2 linked regions of the Sus scrofa genome follow. The protein of the gene in region 1 purifies or fractionates together with the protein of each later gene. This does not show direct contact. Links are inferred from orthologs where the notes say so. Each region holds a gene or a part of one and is shown in the gene's direction. Other genes may lie near its edges. The genes, in order: COX6B and CHCHD4.

Region 1 (4,472 bases):
CGGAGTCCCGTCATGGCTCAGTGGTTAACGAATCCAACTAGGAACCATGAGATTGCGGATTCAATCCCTGGCCTCGCTCAGTGCATTAAGGATCTGGTGTTGCTGTGAGCTGTGGTGTAGGTCACAGATGCGGCTCAGATCCCACATTGCTGTGGCTCTGGCGTAGGCTGGTGGCTACAGCTCCGATTAGACCCCTAGCCTGGGAACCTCCATATGCTGTGGGAGCGGCCCAAGAAATGGCAAGAAGACAAAAAAAAAAACAAAAAAAGTATATATTTATATATATATATCTCAACGTGGCTGGAGGGAGGACCATGGGTCAGTTCACAAAGGATCTGCGGACAACTATAAATATAATAAAATTCATTGAATTAAAAAAAAAAAGGATCTGTGAACCATATTAAGGAGCCTGGACTTTGTTAGAGGGTTTGGGGGGGGGGTTAAACAAAGAAATTTGGGCTTTAGGAAGATCTCATTGAAAGGGATGAATGCAGGCATGTAAACAAATAATTACAATCCTGATGAACACAGAATGCAGGAGGCCCCCAATCCAGTTAAGCCTGACACTGCCAAGTATTTTATTGGGTGGCTACTTGCTCTCCGTCCCCCATGCAGTTAGGATGGTGTAGGCCTGGTACGCAGCCTCCAAAACATAATGTGCCTTCTAAGGTTTGGGGAAACATGATAATAAGCAGGAAGATGGAGTCTGGGCATTCCTCATATAGGGATGAACGACCCTGGGAGAAAGAATGGCTTGTTTTTAATTCCTTAAGAATGATTTGTTTGCAATCCCCAGTAATTGAATTTCCAATTGGAAGTTCCAATTTTCTTTTCTTTTTTGCTTTTTAGGGCCGCACTGGTGGCATATGGAGATTCCTAGGCTAGAGGTCCAATTGGAGTTGCAACCGCCGTCCTAGCCACAGCCATAGCAACGCAGGATCCAAGCGTTGTCTGTGACCTACACCACAGCTCACCGCAACGCTGGATCCTCAACCCACTGAGCAAGGCCAGGGATCGAATCCGCAACCCCATGGTTCCTAGCTGGATTTTTTTCCTCTGTGCCATAACGGGAACTCCTGGAAATTCCAATTTTCCAATTGACCCAGTAATAATCATAACGAGAATAGGGATTTTTGTGTTTTCTTCAGCTATGCGTCCCAACACTTAATAGAAATATTTGGCACAGAGTAAACGTTCAATAAATGATTATTGCATGAATAAGAGTATTTCCGTTGGGATAGTTTCTCCACAGGGGGACTCTCCCTCCAGGACAGGACCCTGAGCCCTTCTCTCTCGGTAAGGACGGGGAGGAGACGAGACTGCGCCCACGGCTTGGAACCGCTTCAGCTCACGATTGGGCTGGGAGTGAGGACGAACAGGCATTCGGACCAATAGAAGGTCGGAGTTCTCTTGCATGGGCGTGGCCTAAGTGCTTCTGGACCAGCCCAGCCCCGCGGAAGACTCCCTTGTACCGCGTCTCGTCCCGCTTCCGGCCGGTCTTTATTCCGCTTCCGGTCCGACGCCGGCGTCTTTGCTGAGGGTCACATTGAGCTTCCAGCGGTTTCAGGCGCGACTCTAGGTGAGTGTCGAGGCCTCGGGGGCCTGGAATCCCAGCCTGGGGACTCAAGAGTCCGACCCTTGCTTCCCAGGGAATGAGATGAGGTTTCCGGCCGACGGCAGCAGGCCTCCCGGGCCCGGGGGGGTCTCTTCAAGTTAATAGTCGTAGCTAACGATTATTTAGTTTTTCCTCAATGCCTGGAACATTCCAGGCGACTTACATTGATTCATTTAATCCTCCCTCCAGCTCTATGAGGTAGGGCCTGTGATTATCCCTTTTTGACAGGGAGGCAACCGCAGTTCAGACAGTAAGCGGTTTAGCCAGAGGTCAGGATTTGGACCTAGTAGTTTGCACTGCAGGGCTTTTAATCACCAGATGTACCCCCTGTGGTTTGCCTGGGCTGTGGCATGGCTTCTTGGTGTCTGGCGCCTCCACCCCCTTAGACGTTGGAGGGGCCACAGCGGTACTCCCAGTCTACCGCACTCCTGAAATCGGGTGGATCTCGCTTCCAAAATAATTCTTCCGATCGTGTGTGTGTCCCAGCTGCTGGAGTTCCAGATAGCCCCGCTCCCGGAAAGACTCCATTTCGATGGCCCCGATCCCTACCACTACCTTGAGTCGCTTGGATTTAACATCAGTCCACTCACCTCTATGTAATCCCAGGACTTCTCTAATCATCTGGAATAGAGGCAATTTCTTTCAGGTTCCCTGACGAAAACTGTATCACCTCATTAGAAATTCTGTCATAGGTTTTTAACTCTGGGTTCACAGAATCCATAGAATTCAAGGGGTTCTAGTTCTTGAATGGGGGAAATTTTACATCTATATTTTTACTAATCTCTTATTGAAATGTAGCGTTTCCTTCAGTTAGGAGTGGAGGCAGTGGCCATAGTCGTATTAGCATCATTAAAACCACAGGTCATCTTATATCCCATTACAGTTGTAGATGTCACAAAATATCATTTTCATTCCTTTTTTTTAAGGCTGCCCCCAGGGCATATGGAAGTTCCCAAGCTGGGGGGGTGGAATCGGAGCTGCAGCTGCCAGCCTACACCACAGCCATAGCAGCTCAGGATCCTTAACCCACTGAGCAATGCCAGGAATCAAATCCACATCCTCATAGATTCTAGTGGGGTTCGTTACCACTGAGCCACCACGGGGACTCCCTCACTCATGACTATTTCGAAATTGTGTAGTTAAGTCCTCAGCTGCATATAACGGTTTTCTTTGTGATCCTTTGCAACTTCTAAATACATTTAAACATATTCTGAGAAAGGGTTCATTAGATCCCTGGGGAGTTCATGGCAGGGATCAAGATTAAGAACCCCTGCAGTGTAGGTTATGTCAGTGATGGAGTGCAGCTCCACGGCATGTGTGCTCTCTGACCTTGGGATGTCACTTAAACACCCTGTCTCTTTGTGAAACAGTAATAGTAATAGTTCCTGCCTTTTAGAGTGACTGTAGGAATAAAGCATCCTTGCCAATAGTCAGCACTCGGTGAGTGTCAACTAGTGTTATTTTGGGACAGATAAGGCCTGATTTTACCAGAGAGTTGAGCCCCCCACCCCTACCCTGCTGTGACTTCCACACTTTGCGTGTTCTTGCCTGCCTTTCATCTCTGTGTGCATGTTGAAAGGAAGGGGGCCTTGGCCTGGCTTGACTTGGTCACACCCAGCCTGTTCTGCATCCAGCCTCCACTGGGCCTGAGTGGACTGAGAGCCCTACCAGCATCCATTCTCTTTGGCCCCAGGAGTCAGCACTATGGCAGAAGACATCCAGACCAAAATCAAGAACTACCAGACAGCTCCTTTTGACAGCCGCTTCCCCAACCAGAACCAGACCAGGAACTGCTGGCAGAACTACCTGGGTGAGCAGGACATGGGTTGGAGCGGGCGGGGGCAATGTTGACCTTCCCCTGGTCCCACACCTCAAGTCACCTACCTCTTGCCTCCTCCTAGGGGTCCTTCTGCATCCTAGGCCACTTTTATTCTGAACATTCCTACCTTGCAGGGCCCACGCCCCTCCTCACCAGCTGTGTGTTCAAGATCTGGGCCAGTGGCACAAACTTTGGTTCCCGCAATGATTTTGTGTTTTGTTTTGTAAAAAACAAAAGGTTTTTTTTTTTTTTTTTGGCCATGGCATGCAACAGTTTGACGTGGGATATGGGATCGCAGTTCCCAGACCAGGGTTTAAACCCAGGTTGCAGCAGTGAAGCTCTGAGTCCTAACCACTAGACCACCACGAAGCTCCCCCTCGATGGTGTGTGTGTGTGTGTGTGCGCGCGCGTGCGCGTGTGTGCATGCGTGCATGAAATGTACATACATACAGGAGGAACATAAAACATAATGTACAAGTAAATTAATAAACTCGAATTCCCCCATGAAACTGTAATTTGGAAGAAACCTAGATGCTGCCAGCACTCAGAGCTTCCCTGCCTACTGCACTCCCTGTCTTGAAAATAGCGCTCTACCTCCCCACTGAGAGGGCGATCACATTTTGGTTTTATCACCGCTTTTGTCTCTTTGTGAATGTTATAAATACTGTGTGTATTCCTTTGTGTTTGGATTTCTTCAACAGTTTTCAAGATTCATTGATGCTGTGGCATGTATTTTGCTTGCTCTCTCTCTCTCTTTTTTTTTTTTTTTTTTTTTAAGGGCCACCCATGTATATGGAAGCTCAGCCAGGGGTTGAATTGAAGCCACAGCCACAGCAACATGGAATCCAAGCTGCATCTGGGACCTACACTGCAGTTCATGGCAATGCCAAATCCTTAACCCATTGATCAGGGCATCGAACCTGCATCCTCATGAATACTAGTCAGGTTAATTACTGCTGAGCTATAGCAGGAACTCCTATATTTTGCCCATTTTTACTGCTGTACAGTTTTTTGTTTTGTTTTGTCTTTTTGTCTTTT
Region 2 (4,538 bases), on another chromosome or scaffold:
AAGATGTAGCCTGCCAGGCTGGCTCTGCAACCCTGGGCAGGGCCTTTCTCTGCTGGGAAAGTTCCCTATCTGTAAAGTGGTCATTATGGAGGGGGGGCTGGCGGTCTCCTGACTGCGCTCTGCCGAGGGAAGACCCTGGGTCTCCCGGACCACCTCTGAGGCTTTTCTAGGTGCTTTTTCAAAGGCTTCTTGGCCTCCCAGACAATGCAAACTCAGGCAAAGTGTGCTGGGGCTGTGGGTGAGGCAAACCCTGGCTTCTCAGGGGGTGTGGAAGGCAGAGAGGACCTTGGGGACAGAGGAAGGGCCTGTTAAGAGGGTGTGAAAGGCCAAGAGAGAGAGTGGTTAGGACATGCCACCAAAGCAGGAGGGAGGGAGTGCCTCAGCTGGCTGGGCTCCGAGCTGGCACCAGAGGCACTTTTGCAGAAGACAGGAACATGAGTCACCAGCTTCTCCCACACCCAGCACCCTGTTGGCAGGTGCCCCTCGGTTTGTTGAATGAATGTGGGGCTTAAATAGAAAGGTTCCTCAGAAAAGCAGGGAGAAAAGCAGCTGCCTTTCCAAGGGCACCGCCCTCAGCCAGGGCCTTTCCAACCAAGCCAAAGCCAGGAAGACGAGGGGCCAGCAGTAGGGAAATGCTCCCTCTCCCAGTCATGCTAACTCCTCTGCTCCAAACTAGTCTGCCCCTCTGCACAACATCAGAGCCTTGGTTTACATACTCCCTGGAGCGGGGACCTCAGTGCCTGCTAGGACAGTGCGTTTCTGGACAGCTTCACCAGGGCGATATCTGCCTCCCCACACACCCCATGGGGGACTCCTGTCTGAAGTCCCGTCCAACTCTCAAGTCCGCAAATGTGAGAATCCCAAAGGCGCAGGCGGGAACCGAGAAGGAAAGAAGGAGCTGCGCGGAGGCGCCGCACATAAGCGGACCCGGAGACAGAGCCACACCTCCAGAGGTTGCGTCTCTACCACCACGCGCCCCCGAGGAGGACGTGGACCACCGGGTGCTGACCGCACGTACGGACGACCTGGCTGCCCTGCCGGAAGGAGCGGACCCGGGAGCGAGAGGGAGGAAGGGCCGGCTGCACGGAGGCGGTTAGCCGCACAAGGGGCTACGGCGGGCGGCCGGGAGAGTGGACGAGGCAGCCTGGGTGTGGCCGGCGAAGCCGGGGACACTCACGTTCGCAGCCATGGCAGGATCCGGTCACCGCCCGCCTCACTCGGCTCAGCAAGAAAACGGACTTACGGCTGCACCACGGAATCCCGCCACCTCTCGACAGCCAGATGGCGGCCAAAAGGCGCGGGAAGCCCGGAGCCCTAGGATGCGCTACAGAGCAACGCCCCGCAAGCCGCGGTTTTTCTGCTCTCGCCCGCCGCGCCTCCTCCTGGGAAACGTAGTCTGGTGCCCTCTCCGGAAGTTGCAACCTACCCGGTACCTCACTGGTGCACCTGCGCATTGCAGGTCATTCTGGGAATTGCAGTTCCTTCTGTCTAGGGAGTTGCTCGGCGGCGCGCGGCCTGCTGGGAAATGTAGTTCCCGGTTGAGAAGGCCGGGCTAGGAGCTCCGAGGCAGGCGCGCGGAGGGCAGGCCTGGAGGGGGCGGGTCCGCACGGGCCTCCCAGCCGCCCGCCTCGCCGGGGAGAGGTCACGGCGTGAGGCAGCCACCGCGATCACCGCGAGGTTGGAGCGCCGGGCTGCACTATGGCCTACTGCCGGCAGGAAGGTAGGAGGGCGGGGTACCTAGAGACGGCCTACGAGGGCCTGCAGGGAACAGGCGGATTGTGCGGCCCCCGCGCCCCACCACTGGTGCGGAAGATAGTCCTCGGACCCTTGCGTCGGGTCTCCATCCCCGCTTTACAGATGGGCAGCGGGGAGAAGCGAGGCGGTCCAAGGTCACCGTGAGGCTCGAACCCGGACGTCTGAGGGACCACCACGTGAGAGAGCTCTTAAATTAGGCCTGGGGGTCGGAGGAGTGCGAGCGCGCTGCCGCTGGCTCCTAACGGAGAGTTTATAGGTATTAATTGTTACTATGGCGCTTACCCACACCACGTGTTCCGGTTTGCGCCGCCCGTCAACAGTCCTGGAAAGTCGCCCTCGGCGTGCTCTGTGCTGCGGCGTGGAGTACCGCCCGAGGGGACCGGTCAGGCGCTGGTGCGCCCTAAGCCAGGCCCTGTTCATTTCCCGAGAGTAAACAGCGACCCAGAGGTGACTAGGCTAATGCCATGATGCCGGCAAGTCCGGAAGCTGGGGTTGGACCCCCGCGGTCTGATTCCAGAGCTGCCCAGCCTGGTGACCAGTGGATTCCAGGGAGCCTTCCGTTGGGAAGACAACCCCCCAAAAAAACAAAACTAAATAGGTTTCTGTCTATGGTCTCTCTCCTTGTTACCTCTCCTGGAACCCCAGAAGTCTCCAGGCCAGGGGTTCGAGGGCCTCCGCGCACAACCGCTAACTGGCTCTTTGTCCCTGAGCTGTCACCCAGCCCCTCCAAGGCCCAGTGTTCAGTCTTGTAAAATGAGAAGTAGGCCTTCCTTCCTTCTCCACATATTCATGAAGCACCTTTTTAGTGCCAGGTGAGGGTGATGGTGAACACCTGAGACTTTAAAGCTCCAGAGAGAGCTGGAACTCTCCCTGAAATTCTTTAATGAATAGTCTAGCTCCCTCAGGTCATTGAGGGACCCTTAAGCCCAGAGATGGAGGTGATCTACCCAAGGTCATGCTTAGGTAGGAAAACAGCTCAATCTAAAATGCTAGGCCTTTCCCCCAGTACCCCATTCTGCTTCCAGAACCCTCCTTCCCTGGGTCATAAAGTCATAATACTCACGATGTCTCTAATGAGTGCTATTTTAATTGATTGATATTTAACTCTGCCTTGAGCAAAAGTCCTCTGCCCTCACCGCTTTGTTAGAGAGTAGGTCTCTTGTTTTTTATTGCCTTCTGAGTCTACTTTACTTCATCATTTAGCAATTTTTTTTTTTGAGCCTTGTGGGCTTAATGAGGCCATGCAGATAAACAGACCCTCCTTGTCCCTGAGGATTTCTGGAAGTCCAAGGCAGGTGTTTATCTACCACCAAATGGTAGGTCATATCTTTTCCTGGGTCAAAGATCTCTCTTAGTATTGGGGGTGAGAACTGAAAGCATTCATTTTTAGGCCTTCCCTAGTTTTTAATATTATCCATGCCATGGTCCCCTAAATCCTAAAAAACTTCTTTTCTACCTAGCAATTCTTTCTGTTTCCCATGGGACTTAGAGAAGTGATCCCAAACGCCTGATTGAGGGCTTGTGTGATGGAGCCCCCACCTGATCCGTCCCCAGCTGGTCTCTAATCACCCACTGCTGACCAGCCACACTGGCCTCAGCTGTTCCCTTTGCCTGGGTGCATCCTTCCTCCAGGTCTCTTCCCACGGCTGCCTCCTCATCCTTTAAGATTCAGCTTCTCAGTAAGGTCTTTCTTGACCCTTTGTGTCTTTCACTTCCTAAACTATGAAATTACCTGATTTGTTTTGGTCATCTTATTTCCTGTCTTCTAGCAGCATTTCCTGTCTTCTGAGAGCATTAGATGGGCCATACCCCTGGCACCTGGCACCTTTACCCAGTGAACCCGTGCATACGCTTTCCCTCTGTTCTAAGTGAATCACATTGACTTCAGGGGTGCCCTGCCCCTATCCCAGCCTTTGGAGTAAAGGCCTCAGCTGGGTGTTCAAGGTGTTGGGCAGTGTGGACCCAGACTAGCTCCCTGGCCATGGGTAGCACTGTTCTTTCTCTTCTAATGTTGACCCCGCTTCTGTTCAGCTAAACTTTATTGAGCACCTGTGAAGTACCAGCCACTGAGGCATGGCTTTGGTCATAGGTGGGCCATCTGCCCTCATGGTGTGGTGGGGGCTGGGGGGGGAACCTTCCTGGGTTGGATGTGCTGAGAGATTCTGATGTGTAAAGACCCACACGTGTCCTGGGGAAAATGAGACCACCCATCCAAGGGTTTTTTTCTCTAACCTGCTTCATGGTGATAACCTTTCTCTGCTGGGGCGGAGGTCTTCATGTTCGAACCCAGAGTTCAATTTCTCCATTCACGTCTTCAGCAAATACCGATTACCCACTATGTCTTGGGCACTGTTCTAGGCTCTGGAGGTGCTGCAATGAATGGAGCAGACATTTCAATTTCAGTGGGGGTGACAGGTGGTAAACAAATATGTAATTGTAAGGTGAGAAAAAGCAGGTAAATGGTGATGGGAAAGGATGAAGGAGGATGGCATCTGAGCAGGAGGTATGAAGGCAGGGAGAAGGTGGCTGAGAGGGGATCTCAGTGTGTTCCTAGGGGGCAGACAGCCTGTGCAAAGGCCCTGAGGTAGGCGTGTGCTCAGCACATTCAAGTAGAAGCAAGGAGATGCTGAGTGGAGGGAGAAGTGGGGAGAGGGGGTCATGAAGGTGAGGGATGCAGGTCCTTCTGGATGTGCTTGGAGGCAGAGCCAGCAGGATTGGATGAGGGAGGCATGAGAGGAAGATGGGAGTCGGGGACAGAGGCACAGAGTAAAACTGCAGAACTG

Evidence for each region.
Region 2: the proteins of COX6B (region 1) and CHCHD4 purify together in Homo sapiens (co-immunoprecipitation; 3 studies listed by BioGRID and IntAct, with this or other methods). This does not show direct contact. The link is inferred for Sus scrofa from reciprocal best matches to the Homo sapiens genes COX6B1 and CHCHD4.

The regions. Positions count from the first base shown.
Region 1 is NC_010448.4:45,090,405-45,094,876, forward strand, and holds the start of COX6B (cytochrome c oxidase subunit 6B1), read left to right. Parts: upstream 1-1,424; 5' UTR 1,425-1,579; intron 1,580-3,194; exon of another isoform or gene 3,195-3,308; 5' UTR 3,309-3,319; coding exon 3,320-3,425; intron 3,426-4,472. UniProt on the Homo sapiens protein: Component of the cytochrome c oxidase, the last enzyme in the mitochondrial electron transport chain which drives oxidative phosphorylation.
Region 2 is NC_010455.5:70,415,800-70,420,337, forward strand, and holds the start of CHCHD4 (mitochondrial intermembrane space import and assembly protein 40), read left to right. Parts: upstream 1-1,526; 5' UTR 1,527-1,698; coding exon 1,699-1,720; intron 1,721-4,538. Other genes in the region: TMEM43 (transmembrane protein 43), read right to left, coding at 1,178-1,189.